Canis lupus familiaris: one gene and its partners. The protein of the gene in region 3 purifies or fractionates together with the protein of the main gene of each other region. This does not show direct contact. Links are inferred from orthologs where the notes say so. Each region holds a gene or a part of one and is shown on either strand. Other genes may lie near its edges.

The links.
Region 1: the proteins of RUNX2 (region 3) and HDAC4 purify together in Homo sapiens (affinity purification with western blotting; 3 studies listed by BioGRID). This does not show direct contact. The link is inferred for Canis lupus familiaris from reciprocal best matches to the Homo sapiens genes RUNX2 and HDAC4.
Region 2: the proteins of RUNX2 (region 3) and UBTF purify together in Homo sapiens (co-immunoprecipitation; 3 studies listed by BioGRID and IntAct, with this or other methods). This does not show direct contact. The link is inferred for Canis lupus familiaris from reciprocal best matches to the Homo sapiens genes RUNX2 and UBTF.

The regions. Positions count from the first base shown.
Region 1 is NC_049246.1:49,716,921-49,722,534, forward strand, and holds the start of HDAC4 (histone deacetylase 4), read right to left. Parts: upstream 3,613-5,614; 5' UTR 3,598-3,612; coding exon 3,483-3,597; intron 2,662-3,482; exon of another isoform or gene 2,462-2,661; intron 1-2,461. UniProt on the Homo sapiens protein: Responsible for the deacetylation of lysine residues on the N-terminal part of the core histones (H2A, H2B, H3 and H4).
Region 2 is NC_049230.1:19,063,695-19,068,049, reverse strand, and holds the end of UBTF (nucleolar transcription factor 1), read right to left. Parts: intron 3,837-4,355; coding exon 3,748-3,836; intron 3,644-3,747; coding exon 3,454-3,643; intron 2,479-3,453; coding exon 2,431-2,478; intron 2,329-2,430; coding exon 2,257-2,328; intron 2,169-2,256; coding exon 2,025-2,168; intron 1,942-2,024; coding exon 1,816-1,941; 3' UTR 1,193-1,815; downstream 1-1,192. UniProt on the Homo sapiens protein: Recognizes the ribosomal RNA gene promoter and activates transcription mediated by RNA polymerase I (Pol I) through cooperative interactions with the transcription factor SL1/TIF-IB complex.
Region 3 is NC_049233.1:13,822,819-13,828,624, reverse strand, and holds the start of RUNX2 (runt-related transcription factor 2), read right to left. Parts: upstream 3,447-5,806; 5' UTR 3,374-3,446; coding exon 3,236-3,373; coding exon of another isoform or gene 3,201-3,235; intron 3,036-3,200; coding exon 2,912-3,035; intron 1-2,911. UniProt on the Homo sapiens protein: Transcription factor involved in osteoblastic differentiation and skeletal morphogenesis. Essential for the maturation of osteoblasts and both intramembranous and endochondral ossification.

The DNA of each region.
Region 1 (5,614 bases), on a different chromosome or scaffold from region 3:
GCCCGCAGCCCGCGCAGCCCGTCCCCGGGTGCGGCGACCCCGGACACTGCCGGGCGCAGGTGTCAACAGGACGGAAGCCGCCCCCACTCACCGCAGCCCAAAGTGAATTCTGCAGGAATTCAGGCTCAAACGTGGAAGGCAAAGCTCGAGAACAACTCAAGAGGCCAGAAGCGCCAACGCCCGGACAAGGTGGATCCGCCGGGCGACATTTCCAGGCAGGACTGCTGCTGTCGGACACCGTTTACCGGGGAGGCTGAGCCCTGGCGACGCTCGCGGGCCCTGCGCGGAGGCGCCCGAGGCCTCGGTCTCCGCCGGCCAAGGAGACGCTCCAGACCTCCAGCGGAGAATGGGGAAAGTGGAATAAGATGAACAGGCTTCTCAGGAAGGAGGGCTCCTGACGGCCGCGGCACCTGCGTGACCCAGGCGAGCCCGCAGGACACCACGAGCCCCCGGGGGCGCGGGAGCCGCCGGCGGCATGACGAGGAGGCCCTTCGGGGGTCACAGGCTTGCCCTCGGGAGGCCGAATCTGGGTCCTGGGACCCAGGAACTGCAGGCCCGAGTGTGGTCTCCGTACGTGGGAAATCCCTGCGCGTGGGCAAGAGCAGGGCCAGCCGCAGCCGTCCAAGGAGCCACCGGCAGAGCAGCACGGGGATGGACAGGGTGAGTCTGCTCAGCCAGACACACGCCCCGGAGCAAGAGGACGACAGGCCGCCGGTGCCCGTCCCGGTGCGACAGCACCGCTCCAGGCAGCGCACGCCTATGGCCCGCCTAGTTTCTCAAAGAAAGCCAGTCAGGGACAAACACTAAAGTGAGGACAGGGTGCGTCGGGTGCGGGCCGCGACTCCCCGCATCCCCTACTGGCCTCTGGGCAAGAGGCCCGGGGCCCCGGGGGCAGGTGAGCCGTGCAGAAACCCGCCCGGGACAGTGTCTCACTCCACTTTGCACCTGGAGTGATACACCCGGGGCTCTTGGGTCTCCTGGCGATAGAGGATGGACCGGCGTTCCCAAATCCTACCTCCCAGCCTTCTCAGGGACAGAGGGCACTTCACGTGTCAAGAAGGTTCACACGCGGTCCGGGTGGGTGCAGGTGGCGGGGAGGTGGGGCACGGGGCAAGGCCCTCCCCGGGGGACCGTGCTGGCCCCCTGCCCCCTGCAGGTGTCCCCAGCCTGGGCCCAGCCTCTCAGCCTCACCCCACCAATGCGGGGCCCCTTCCTATGGTAAAATGTCACCCCAAGGGGCGCAGGCGTTGGCTTGCTAAGACCTAGTTCTTGACGGGAGGGATGAAGGACTCCTGGGGCTACAGAGCCAGGACGAGGAAGCACGATGGCCCGACCCACTCACCCAGCTCCACTCGGCCACCGTCACTTCCTCACGGGAAACTTCGTCTTAAAGTCCATTTAAACTGACCTGTATGAATCAGTTTTAAATGAAAATTTCTGACGGGGAAATAACCATGTTTCCTCTGTCTTCCTTCTTTTCGTAGGATCAGCACAGATCTGCTGCCCTCCGGTACAAAATCCAGCTTCCAGAAAGCCAGGAGGACCGAATGCTCTGCCCTCCCGAGGGCCTGGCGCGGCCGCTTCTCCGGGAGTGCGACGGTCCCCCAGGATGGGCCAGGACCCCCCGACCCCCCCCCGGGCCGGCCCTGCGTGTGGATGAGGAGGTCGAAAGCTCAGAGCTTTCCCTTCCTGGACAGTACCTTTGGGGACACCTGCCTTCAAAGCATGTCCAGTCACGCTGCGTAACCTGAGCGAGGGGGCTGCCGGCCAGCGCAGGGCACCTGTGCTGGGCCTCCGTGGGGGCTGTGGGCCCTGACCCAGTGACCCGGCAGCTTGGGCTGCAAAAACCGCTTTGCGCCCCGGCGGACACTGGCCACACCCCGTCCCCAGGATCCAGCACGTTACCTGCCCCCCCGACCTGTACACCAGCTGCTCCCGCCACCGGAGTGGGAAGACGAGCAAACAAGGCGGTGGCGCCGTGCCCCGGTGAGAACCCGGTGGGGAGCGGGTGGGCCCCCTGGGGACGCCGAGCTCACACCCCGACCTGAGTACAGGCAGCCCGACCTCCTCAGCCTCCTGTTTCAAAGAAGTCATTTCACGGACTGCAGGGTCATTTCGAAAATAATCTCCTTGGCGGCTGAAAACCGCTCGTGCAGCCTCTGCCGGTTCCTAAAGTGACCACGGAAGGCGTGGGGGCGGACAGTTATCTGCTCCACGCAGATTTCAATTCTGAAGTCCGGCGACAGGGCTTTCTTAAGAAGAAATGGATGAAAGGGAATGCGAACTGAGATGTCGAGAATTTCTGCAGGATTATTAGGAGTCCAATTAATCTTTAACTTAGATTGTGAAAACACAAGGTTAAGAGGCCTTTCCACCCAGTCGCCGCCTGGCTGAGCCGAGGAGGGTTCGTTCTTGATTCTTGAAGAACGGCTTGTGAGGAACACGGGCTGCTGGCACTTACCCTCCTCCTCCGAAGACTCCACTCTGGGGACAGCCAAATGACCGAAATCCTTCCCAGGAGCAGATCGTGCGAGGAGACAAGAGCCGCAGGATTCTGGGAGCTGGGAAGGGGCCCGGCGATGCAGAGTGAAGAAGGACCCGGCCCGGAAGCCAGGACGGCCAGGGACCTCGGGGCCGGGGAGGCCGCGCTACGGGCAGCCTTTGACCCCACGGCCCGCCCGCCCCCCGCACGCAGGGACTCCCAGAGCAGCGCCGAGCGGAGGGCGGGAGCTGGGTGCTGGCCCGAGGCAGGAGCAGTGACAGCTGATACACTGCAGGCCGGAGTGCGGGGGCCGGGCCTGCGCCCCAGGGAGGAGCCGAGAGCCCAGGAGGGAAGGGCCAGGTCATGGCACCAGGGCCCGAGGAAGCGCCAGGCCCCTGCCCAGCGACCGGCCAGAGGACGGGTCCCGCCAACACACCCGCCCAGCTTCGTGGAGACTCACCCTTGGATACGGGCCGAACACTGAGGAAAGCCTCTACCGTGAAAAACAAAAAAGCGCCCTCTGCACAGCCCGCAGAAGTGCACTGTCTGCTGCCCCTCACACCCCACCCCCGAAAATGCAAGGGCTGGGAGGTGGCTGGGTGGCCCAGCTGCTCCCTATGCCCCCTGGCCCCGAACCCAGAAAAGTGCGGGGAACATGAAGGTGGCCCCGATGCTGAGGGAGGAGGAGGGAGGCAGGGCCTAGCACCGCTCAGCGGCCCCCAACCCACCAGAGAACATCCTTCGAAGTGCGGCCCAGGGGCAGACGAGGGTCCTAAGCACCCACAGCCAAGGGGACAGACGCTGCTCACTGGGCGCAAGTGCCGTGGACTCCTCCTCGGTGGGAGCTGATAAAGAACACGCTCCACCCGACACCCAAGTCCCCCGCCGCTGCCAGGCGCGCCTGAGGTGGGCCTCCTGCCCGCCGCCTCCAGCCAGCCACTGAAATGTGCCCCCCTCGGGCCCAGGCCCTCGAGGAGGAAGTCCCGCAGCCTGGGCTCACCTCCAGCAAGCCCGCGGGGGCACCTGCATGCTCCGGGGTCCTGGGGACCCACCCACTCTGTGGGCCACATAGTCACACCAGGCGTTTCTTCAGCTCTGAACGTGGCCAGAGCCATTTTGCCAGCTCTGGCGACAGTGGACGTGCTCACCCTGGAAAACCAGCCCAGGGACAGCCCACAGGCTCACACACTGAGCACATGAGTGCTGGCTGACGCCCAGCCTTCTGGAGCCTCTCCAGACAGTCCGCAGGGGACAGGCACAACAAGCCCCCAGACCCGCCCTCCACGGAGCGCACAGCCTGGAGGGGAGGCGACCACAAAGGAAACGAGTGCGTGAACCACGCAGCAAGCGGGACACACGGACACTGCTAACCGCCTGCTAATCCCCATTTAACCGATGTGCAAAACGGACAGGTGGGGAAGCAGAGCAATCTGCCCAGGTCACAGTGATAGGAAGCAGAAAAGCTGAGCCCGGGCTCCAGGAGCGCCACAAGGTCATCACGTGCATTCATCTCCTGTGGCTCTTCCTACACACTTAGTGGCTCCAAACAACACAGATTTATCCCACGGTTCTGGCGGCTCCAGGGGAGAATCTGCTCCCGGCCTTTCCCAGCCGCCAGGTCCCCCTGTCTTCAAAGCCATCAGTCACTGCAGCTGTACTCACGACTCCTTCTTCCACTCTGACCCTCCTGCCTCCCCATCTGAAGGACCCTTATGATTCCACTGGACCCACCTGGGTAATTCAAGATCATCATCCATCTCAAGATCCTTAATCACACCTACAAGGTCCCTTTGGCCACGTTAGGTCACATACTCACAGATTCTGAATTAAGGCGTGGACCTTTGGGTGTTGGGGGACACTACCTATGAACCAGACTCTGGCTTCTGGGCTGAGCTGGAACAGGGGGCTACAACAGAAGCAAGGAACAGGTGGGGAGGTGCCTGCGGGTTCTAGGTGCGAGCCAGTGGTGGCCGGGCTGCCGTCGTCACTGACGGAGAGGGGGAGTAGCCAAGCTCTACACATACTTAATAACTAACTTTACTGAGCACACGGCCTTTTACCCTTCAGAAATGCACAAGTCAGTGAATTTCTAGTAAATTTACCAAGATGTGCAAGCGTCACCTTGAACCCATGTTAGAACGTTTTCATCACTCAGAAGGGACTCCTCCTTCTGCGCATGCTTTGCCGGGCAGCTGATGGCATTTGCTAGTTGGGAGAATGGGCTATGGAGACAGGATTTCAAGGGCGAATCGGGGCTTCAGAGGATGGTGGAAGCACTGAGTCTGGGTTGGTACGGGCAACCAAGAGTCCAGTTTCAGACACTCAAGTCTGAGGTGCCTACTAAACACCCAGGCAAGGACCCAAAACAAGCAGCTGGCTCTTGAATGTGGAATCAGGCAAGATCTGGGCTAGAGCTAGAAATCTGAATGGGAGCAGAACCAAGATGCTGTTCTGGATTGTGAATGGATGAGATGGGGCCACTGAGATCGCCACGGGAGTCAACAAGAATGAGAAGGCATCCAAGGGCCCAGCCCTGGGGACACCTCAATGCTGAGGTATAGGGGAGATGAGATAATATCTGCCCAGGAGTTAAAGGATGAGGGGCCAGGACAGTGGACAGGTAACCGGAGCGTGTGGTTCTGGGACAAGGTACTTCTAGAAGGGGTTGGTGGACTGAGTCAATACTGGGGAAAGGCCACGCAAGATGAGGGCTAGAACATGGCATCCTGGGATTTGGCAAAAAGTCATCAATGAATATAGGGACCCTGTGCTGGGAACCAGGGGAAAACTGGATTATCTGTGAGATGCTACAGCCCCCGCCCCGGGTGGCAGGGGCACAGGGGGCAGGCACAGCCAAATCACACAAGCTTGTCTTGCCTACAGATGAACAACAGGCAGCATCAAAGACCAATGCCTCCTCGGGATCAGAAGCGGGTAAGGGCTCAAGAGGCAGGAAGACAAGTACCCATCCCCTCAACCCCATCTTTCTAGGTCAACACCACCAAGGGCAGTGACACTGGAAGACCCCCCTCCCAGCACAAACGTTGGAACTCTGTCCAGATCTCCACCCCACTCCCACCAACCAACACAGAACCAGGAACAAGAGCTCCAAACCAACCCCCGACCAGCAGC
Region 2 (4,355 bases), on a different chromosome or scaffold from region 3:
AAACACATTCCACTAAAACACAACAGTGTAGGGGCATTCAGACAGGAAAATGGGGTTCTTTGCAGAGGCTCTTGGGGAAGAAATAGAACCTATGAACCCCTGTGTCAGGGTCAGGACAAAGGAAGGGGAGTGGGAGAGGGGAGTGTCCCCCCAGGTTCCCCACCCCCAGCACCACTTCCGAGGCAAAGCAGATTGTTTGCTTTCCTTTGGGGGTGGGACCTACCTTTCCCATCCCACCTCCTGGGTGGAATTCCCATTCTTCCCCCATCCCTTGGCTTTCATTCAGAGGGGGAAGGCGGAAAAGCACAAAGCCCCCACTAAATAGGTCATTAACATGATTGTAAGAAAAAAAAGCCAAAATTTAATAAAAAATAAAAAATTTCAATCCACAGAGATAAGGTGGCTTGGCTTATTAAGGGTCTAGGGATTAGGTTACCAGACATTTGGAGATGGCCAGGAAGGGTTAGGACAGCTGCAAAAGCAGCCTTTGCAGACCCCTTCCCCACCTGGGGGTTTGGAGGGGCGGGGAAGGGAGCAGACCTGAGAAATCAAAGGGAATGGGGTGGGGGTGTGGGGGAGCTGAAGGATACAGGGAAAGGCAGGAGGGGTGTGTGTTAAGAGCTTCCCATCTATCTCCCCAAGCCCAGTTTCTGAGCCTAAGGTGGCCAGGCAACCTCCCAGATGAACTGGGAAGGCCCTTCCCACTAAATAAAAGCTCTTTTAGGTGCACCCAGTCTGTCCCCCTCCCAATGCCCCACTGGAGACCAGCGGTGGCTCAGAGTCATGTAGCCCTGGCAGAGAGAAGCAGATATACAGGAAGCATTAGAGTGGTCAGTACACCGCCCCCCCCCCCCCCCCCACAATTGAATCAGAGATTAGGCAAAGCAGAGAATGTGGAGAAAGGGGCTGCCCCAGCCTGTTCCCACCAGGATCAACATCTCCCTGGCCCTTAGCAACCCATTCACCAGATTCAGACTGAGGTGGGCTCCCCCTTCTCTTACACACGCGCGCGCACACACACATGCACACACGCCTTTGCACACATCCACAGGTGCACCCATGCTATGTACAGGCGACACACGCTCCCGCGCACGCACTTTTCCATTCACATCAAGACCGTTTTTAAAAAGTCCCAAACCTACCCCCTAAACCCTCCCTCTCCCAGAAATGACAACAGAGACGGCAGCCGAGATCGGTAGGAAACGTCTCGTTGACAGCTCAGAGCTTAAAAAAAAAAATATATACACATATATAAAAAACACTTCTGCCCCCTCCCCCCCATGAGTGGGTCCAGGCAGCTCCTTCCTGCAGAGGGCAGGGGAGAGGGCTATGGGGCGGCGCCTGTTCTCTCTGAGGCTCCTGCCCTCCTCTCCCCCCACGTGTTCCCTGCCTCCAGTTCCAATGCAGGGGTCCAGTCGGCAAGCCCCTCCAGGACAGGAAGGGTCTTCCCCAAGCTTCCACCCTCCCATGGGTCGGGCTGCAGGTGTGGAGGGCCTCACTGAACTCTTTGGGACCCCCCACCCCACTCCCAGGTCCATTGTCCATGACGGAACCCCAAGTGCAGAAGAGGGGTGGGCCGGGCCGGTCCAGTGGTGGCTCAGTCTGATGGTTGCACTCCCTGGAGGGCCCCCCAGGGCTGATGTCTCTGAGGCTGCAGAGTCCTGGCCTGGGCTCCTCCAGCCCCTCCCCCACCGAATTAAAAAAAAAAAGAAAAAGAAAAAGAAAGAAAGTGGGGGAGGCCAGGGGCAGGGGACAGAACATGGGGGAGAAACAAAGGTGGTCAGTTGGGGAGGGGAGCCCTGGGTGGGATGAGTCTCAGTTGGAGTCAGAGTCCGAGGAGTCCCCCGAGGAGGAGGAGCTAGAGCTGCTGCCCTCAGACTCATTGTCCTCATCCTCATCGTCGTCCTCATCATCGTCCTCATCCTCATCATCCTCCTCGTTCTGGGGGGGGCAAGGAATGCGGTCACCAGGTGGCAGTCCTGGTAAGGGCCACCCTGCCCTCCCACCACGCCCTGCTGCCTGACCTCATCTCCGTCCTCACTCTCGTCCTCGCTGCTGGACTCGGAGGAGTCCCCACCATCCTCAGAGGAATCCCCGTTCTCATCATCCTCCTCCTCTTCGTCCTCATCCTCATCCTCCTCATCCTCTTCATCATCCTCCTCAGACTCCTGGGAGGGGCAGAGGCATGTCAGTGGTCTGTGCCACACTCCTCCAGGCACCGAGGACCCCCCCCTCCATCTTGGAGGAGCTCCTTACCGACTTGGACTGCAAGGCAGTCCTGCTGGATTTGGGGTTTGGGCCTCGAAGCTTGGTCATGCTCTTACGTTTCTGCAGGGAAGGGGAACACAGACGAAGGGAGAAGCCAGGAGTTCCAGACAGTGGACCCCCAAACCCCCCCTTTCCCCAGCACCACCCTGCTCCCACACTCACATTGGAGATGTACTCTTTATACGCTGCACGGTCCTGAGGAGACAAACTCTGGGAGACAGAGAAGGAGGTAAAGGTTGGAACGCCACCCAAACTACTGCTGATGGGAGTGTGTTGACCAAAAGCCAGGCAGTGGGTTAAGCATTTACATACCATTACCCCATTCTACTCCTGCCACTCTCCCCATACCTTGGGTCTCTGCAGAGTGCCCCCCAGGATCTGCGAAGACAGTCCAGGACTAATGCCTAAGAAGCCCTGAATTCTTTTCTAAGCTACCCTGTATTAGGACTGTGGTTTTCATGTCCCTCCTACTGTTCTACAGTCAAGGGGAGGCTCCAGAGTTAGGGCCTTCCTCAGCAGAGAAGCCCCCTACAATGACTATCATAGCTTGGTATCATCACTCCCACCCAACAAGCCTAGAGCCACTGATAAAGGAGTCTGTGGCTCCCCAAAACCTCTAGACACTTAAACCCTGCTATCTCCCAGGGTCCCTGGCTAACTTGCCTGGATAGCTGGGGGCGAAAGAGGTGGCTCTCCCCACGTTATAAACCTGACTGCTCAACCAAGGCGCCCAAGAAGAGCTCGGAGGCTTGAGGCCAAACCAGAGTCTGGGAGACGCCCTCTGGTCCCAGCTGGAGGTAGGACAAGGCAATCTGGCTTGGATTACTCTATTTACTAGCTGTGTAACCTTGGGTAAATTACTTAATCTCTCTGAACCTTAGTTTCTTTTCTTTGATATTGATCATAGGACTGCTAGGACAATGAATGGAATCGTGGAGGCAGGCCAGCCAGATGCTGCCTCCTCCTTCCAAGGGTCCCCAGCCCTCTCACCTTTTTTTTCTTAAGATTTTATTTGTTTATTCATGAGAGACTGAAAGAGGCAGAGACCTAGGCAGAGGGAGAAGCAGACTCCCTGAGGGGAGCCCAATGCAGGACTTGATCCCAGGACCCCAGGATCACACCCGGAGCCAAAGGCAGATGCCCAACCACTGAGCCACCCAGGTACCCCCACCCCAGCCCTCTCACCTTGACCCAGAGGTCCAGATGTACTTTGTACTGCTTCTGCTGCTCCTCTGCCAATTTTTTGTAGTGCTCTTTCTGGCTCTGGGAGATGCGCTGCCAGCGGCTGCCAATCTCCACCATGCGCTCTTTCAGCGGCAGGTGGTTCAGCTCCCCATTGGACAGCAGCTCCTGGGAGAACTTCTGGTAACCGTTCCTAGGTGGTAGAGTGGCACAGGGAGGGTTAGGACGCCTACCCTACAGCCATCCAGCCATGACCCTTCCTGCGGCCAAGGTGGGTTCTAGCCCCCTTAGACTCACATGGGAGGCTTCTTGGGTTCTCCTTGAAACTTCATCTTCTTGGATGAGTTTGCAGCAGTTGGGGGTGCCCGCATCTCACTCAGCTCTCTCTGTGGGGACACTCAAAGGAGTCACGCTCACTCCACCCCTCACCCAAAATTATTTCTACCATCTGCCCCACGCCATCAGTTGCCTTAGAAACTGAGGCCGAGGGATTCCTGGGTGGCGCAGCGGTTTGGCGCCTGCCTTTGGCCCAGGGCGTGATCCTGGAGACCCGGGATCGAATCCCACATCAGGCTCCCAGTGCATGGAGCCTGCTTCTCCCTCTGCCTGTGTCTCTGCCTCTCTCTCTCTCTCTCTCTGTGACTATCATAAATAAAAAAAGTTAAAAAAAAAATTTAAAAAAAAAAAAAAAAAAAAAAAAAAAAAGAAACTGAGGCCGAGCGGAGGAGCTACGTCCTAACAGGTCACACCTGGGCCAGGCGCCCCTGCTTGGAAGTGCTGTCACAACTACACTCACATGACTGGTCTCACAGCCCCCATGTACTGATTGATGTGTGACTGAGGCTCAGAGAAGGAAGCTGGCAGATTTGCTCAGGGTCACACAACCAAGGCTGGGACTCCCAGCT
Region 3 (5,806 bases):
ATACAGGCTAACAAAATATTTTTCTGTGATTTCTTTTAAATCTTTTGCATTTTAAAATATTTTTAAAATTTAAACATAAGTATTTAACAGTTTTTCATGTAAAGTTAGGGTTATTATAATTTAAAATAATTTATGAGTCTTTGGGAATTATATTGGCGCTTTTAACTTAATATATGTTGGAGTGCTCTTCTGTGTATGTTCTTGACTTTTAAATTGTCTCCCTGGCTTTTCGTATTTAGCTGTTAGAAGCAAGTTATAACGCTTTGACATTATTAGATCTTGTAACTATAAGGTTACTGATATATGGACCAGAGCTATTATTTTGGAATCAGTGTTTATACATCATGTTCAGTTACTATGGTCAGTTACAAAAGCTTTATGTAGAAATTTAATCAGCTGGTATATTGTCATAAATAAGTTCTTCATTGTAAGATACTCCAGGAGTCAGATATGTTATTTTCAACAGACTTTATTTATTATAAATAATGGATAGATTTTGAATAATGAGATTGAAAGTTCTTGTTTAATTCAAGATAAATCGTTGCTGAGAGAGCAAGGACACTGAAAATCTTTGTCTCTGTCTCTGTCTTTCTCACACACACACTTTTCACTCAGTGAGGTGAGCCAATTGGTCAGCGTGTGTTTTGTGCCTCATCTAGGAAAAGTCCAAATTACAGAAAAGTTATTTTACAACATTGGGGCACACACTTTTGATTTTTCATTAGGTTGTTTTGATTATCATTTATAAGAATTTAAGGCCCAAAGTGAGGTTTTAGACTTCAAATAGATTATGGGCTGGGGAAATGTTTGTAGTGTGATGACAACCTATACATAATGTTCACTACACACTTATAATTAGTTTGGTACAGTGGGTTCATCGTTTTCCAGGTGCTGAAATACTATTTGGGGGTGGGAGAGGCTAACCCCTACTCTTTAGAAGAGGAAGAATTAATTATGATGTCTAAAAATATATGACCTACGATAGATGATCTTTATCTATTTAGTTTACTATTATGCCTCATTTAGATACTTGGTCAGGTTTTGGAAACTACTGTAGAAATAGTTATTAAGGATGTCACGGAAATATTAGACCTCTCATAAGACAGGATAAAGAGCATTTTAACATATTTGTGACAGTATTAATGTCTTTGCTTCTAATGCTGAAGTACTCTTTGAAACTTGTGTTGCTCCCCATCTGGTTAGAAAAATGTATTTTTTTTTTCAAATAGTAATATTGTGAAAGAATAAGTTAACTGCTTGACATGCCTGTTTCAAGTTATTCCTTCATATAGCAATAGTTTTAACTATTTTTTTCCTTATCTCGTGTAGGAACAGCAAAAGTTACCATGTGTAAGCTGTAACTATAATAGGGACTGTAATGCAGCCTAGTTGTATATATGTTCTCCTTCCTTAATGGAGAAATTTTTAGAGTAATGTTTATTATCTACCATTACGTTTCAAAAAAATAATCTGTGATTATTATATCGTATGTGTTGTAACTGAGGGGGCCCACTTCCAACTACTGAGGGAGTCACTACAGCAATTTTACATTTTTTGGGGTAAAATACAAACTGCATTTCCTTACCTTTTTAAGAGAAACCATTTTTCTCCTTCAGGTTTAATTATTTCTCTTTGACCTAAACTAAGACTGATCCTCTGGTAGCCAGTTAAAATGTGTGAAGTAGGAGGAGTAAAGGAAACTCCAATCGTTAGTTGTAAGTTATAAAGCAAAGTTAATGCAGGTATACACAGCAAAAGGATTTATTTTAAAGGATAAAGGAAAATTTTATAAACTTGCCTTGTAGTTGGGACATGTTGGACGTCATAAAGAAAATCTTGTAAGTGTTTAGATATTTTACTATAATACTATGTCAGCTGATGAATATTGAAGTAGTTTACTTTTGTGTATCAACACTAATTTGAAATTGAATATTAAGGGACTATTTTATGCCTGTTTTCTTTCAAAGTTCAGCATGATTTAATAGGTATGGCTTTTAAAAATCATGCAGGGTATCCTTACGTAGTTTTATTTTTCATGAGACTAAATGGTATTCATTTTGGTAGGTCCAAGAATATGATTAAAAGAACGCTAGACATTTCAACATTTGCCGTGTGTTTACAACAAGTTTTCCATGTGGATAATAATGTGTAGATGTAAAATTAAAATTATGTAGAAAAATATAATTATATTTAAGTTTTTGGAGACTTCTGTGAACTTCTTAGTATCATGGATGTCCTGAGTAACTATAAAGAGCTTTCAAAAATGGCTTTTACATGCTTATAGTTTTGTATATGAATATATGCTTGAATTATATAAAGTTGTTTAGAAACAAACTTGCGCACTTATGATGCAGTTTAAAAGTACAAATAGATTTCTTTTAGTTGAGCTGGGTAAAATGTTAACTGTGCTGCAGGTTTATTTCTGCAGTAGAGCATAATGGTAGAGCATAATGTCGAGATAATTCTGTGGTCTGTTATTTTGTAAAATTGCTTCCTTTTTGAAGTTTGCTCAAATATAGGGAGCTGCCAGGGTGAATACTTCATAATACTTTGATTAATTTAGTGTCTCATTTTATTGCAGTGAGGGTTAAATGAGAATATTAAACTTTCCTTTACTGTTCTTTAACTGCCTGATTTCTACAGCTCTAGAAAACATTTTGACTAATGTGAGATAATGTAATTTTTTCTATTTCAAGTCATTACTCTGAGAAGTAGATAAGTTACAGATGCCAAATGCAAATATGTACAGCAATTTCATTTTTCAGTTTTTAGTGCAACAAAATAGCAGTATTATCATAACCTTTAGTATCATACAACGTTAGCCAGAAAAGCTAGCAGTTTATCCAAGAAACATACCTTTTTGTTTAACAGGTTCATCTCTCATAGTATTTTAAAATATGATAACACTTACCCCAAAAGAAGTTTTGCTGACATGGTGTCACTGTGCTGAAGAGGCTGTTTGATGCCATAGTCCCTCCTTTTTTTTCCAGATAGAACTTGTACCCTCTGTTGTAAATTCTGCTTGCAGCCTTAAACTGAAAATACAAACCATACCCAAACCTTGTTTTAGTTTTACAGTATGCCTGGAGTACATAGACTTTATATTTATTTTTTTCTGTCAAGAAATTATGTAGCTGGTAACATGTGAAAAGCAAGGAAACAAAACAAAAAGAGAATGAGCAAATATTTGAAGGACCTACTATTACTGCATAGACTGTGGTTAGAGAGCACTCACTGACTCTGTTGGTCTCGGTGGCTGGTAGTGACCTGCGGAGATTAACCATTTAAAAACCAGAGACTTCTTGCTGTCCTCCTGGAGAAAGTTTGCACCGCACTTGTGGTTCTGTGGTTGTTTGTGAGGCGAATGAAGCATTCACACAATCCAAAAAAGCAAAAGCTTTAAAACTCCTTTTTTTTGCAAGCACTATTACTGGAGAGACAGAATCATGTGGTTTGTGACCTCACAGTACTCAAAGTAAAGTGGGACTGCCTACCACTGTGGCTTTTCCCCCCTTGCTCTTGCTCTCTCTCTTTCACTGTCTCTCTCTCTCTCTTTCTCTCTGACAAAAGGCTTGTGGTAAGGCCCTTCCTGGCATCCAGAAGGATATAGCTTTTTAATTTTTGTGACTCATGAGGATTTGGATAGAATACAAATGCTGAAGGAGCCCAAACTCCTGTAAGGTTAAGCATTTGTAGAACAGAACTCTGCAGTTAAGGTTTTCCTTTCTATTCCCTGACCCCCATATTTTTTTTTTTTTTGCCTCCTTTTATTTAGTTCATTATTGTGTCTGTGGAAAAGAACAAAATTGGCTCAAGAGGCTGTGTGAAATTCTGAACAACAGTGATGATTTACAATAATTTACATCTTTGGATTGTATCACATTCTGGGGTCTGCTTCATATTTGCTGGGTGATTTGAGTCCTTCTGTTTTTCTTTTTCTTGTCTTCTTAAACTTGTGAATCTGTAAGTCATTGTAAAAAAGTTTACCTTTCTTAAGGTCTGGTTGCAAACTGCTTGCTGGGCTTGACTGTAATTGGCTGTCATGAAAGTGTTAGTCTGGAGATTCCTTTACAAATACTAAATCATGTCTGTCTGGTTAATGTATGATCAATATTAGATGCTGGCTCCTACAATAAAGATTGAATGTAATAGTATCTTTTGTATTGTGTATATGTTTATCTCATGACCAGTTTGAGGATCTGATAAAAAGTGAATGGTAAGAATTTTGATACACTTTGTTGGATGAATCTTAGTTTTTTTTTTTTATGCTTGTAATTTTGATTTTTCAAGGGAATGAATTTATCCTATATAATTCTTTAAATAATTTATTTGGATGTTAACTTTAACAGAGCCTTTGATAGCAAATCTTACACATCTATAAAGTAAAATTCTTATGTTATAACTTAGAATGTTCAATGTTACTGGCTTTATAAGCTCAGAATAGAGTGGGTTAACAGAAGCTGTAGTTTTTGTTTATAATGGAAGCTTTGAAATAAATTACAAAATGCTGTGTGTAGTAAGGAATAATGCACACAGACAGAGTATGTAGTCGTCTCGATTTGCTAATTCTGATTCAGAAGAAAATTGGAAACATCTTTGGGAAACTATCTCCTTTTTTGCCCCTTTGGACATGTATGTATAGAACTCATTTTCTTATTAGGATGATTATATATCATAGGCAGAGAATTTCATATTTATGAATAGAGCTTCCTGTTTTCATCAGTTGGGAGCGATGGGGTATTTTTCAACAAAAATTATAAAGCCGAACAGAACAATTTTCTAGGCTTTTTTTCTTTTTTCTTTTTTCTTTTTTTGCCATTTATCCACGCCACTCTGAATTTGCATGTTAGACTTCTTCCTAGTGTGATAGTAACAAGGAGTGGCGTGAAGTAAATGACTGGGAGTGTGGGCGGAGACCGTGAATTACAAAACATTATTTGGGGTGTATAATGGGGTTGGGGCTAGAAAACACTGAGGGTGGTGTTACAGCCAAAATATTCCCACTTCTGGTCTTCCTAGCAGAGTTTATTATCTGCTTTTGGTTTTTATTAGATAAAGATAAATGTACAAACACGTTCATAAGTTTCTTTACAAAAACTTCATGTGCCCAAAATATACTGGGGAGACATGAAAATGACTTCAATCCTTTATTATCCCAACCCTAGAACTTTTTCATAATAAACTTTTACTGATAGAAAACCAAAAATATATTTTAGTGTTTTATTTTCAATACAGATTTATTATGCCTCGTGGTGTGTATAAACAGGTTTTACATTGAAAAGTAAAAGCTTTCATTGAATGTGCAAGCTATTCAGTTATTCTCTTTCATAAATAAGGTGTACCAGTGTGATCTGTATTTTGAATTAATTTCCAGAGTAAATTAAAGGAGAGATTTGTCCGTATAATTTGTGGAGTTTCCAAACATAGTGCCATATGCACATACAATAGCAGAATCAGGTCATTGAAAAAATTTAGGTAGCTGTTGTAGTGTGTGTTTGGTAAGTAGATGCTCTTCTTTTAGAACGAACTTTTAGTTTCTGCAGAAGGATTCTTTGACATCTCACAACCCAAAGTTTTTGCTAAATATTTGCCCCTTAAACTTTTTTTTTTTGTTGTTGTTAAGTGTACTTTGGGCCCTACAAATTGACTTACATGTATTTAAATAATTTTTAACATCTGTGTATCCCTTAACTACTTGTTATCTTTTTGCAGGTAACTGTCCTACACATAATTTTTTGGTCAGGATCATTACTCTTATTGCATAAGAATTTAATAGATATTGTTGATTATGCACTTTGTTATCCTA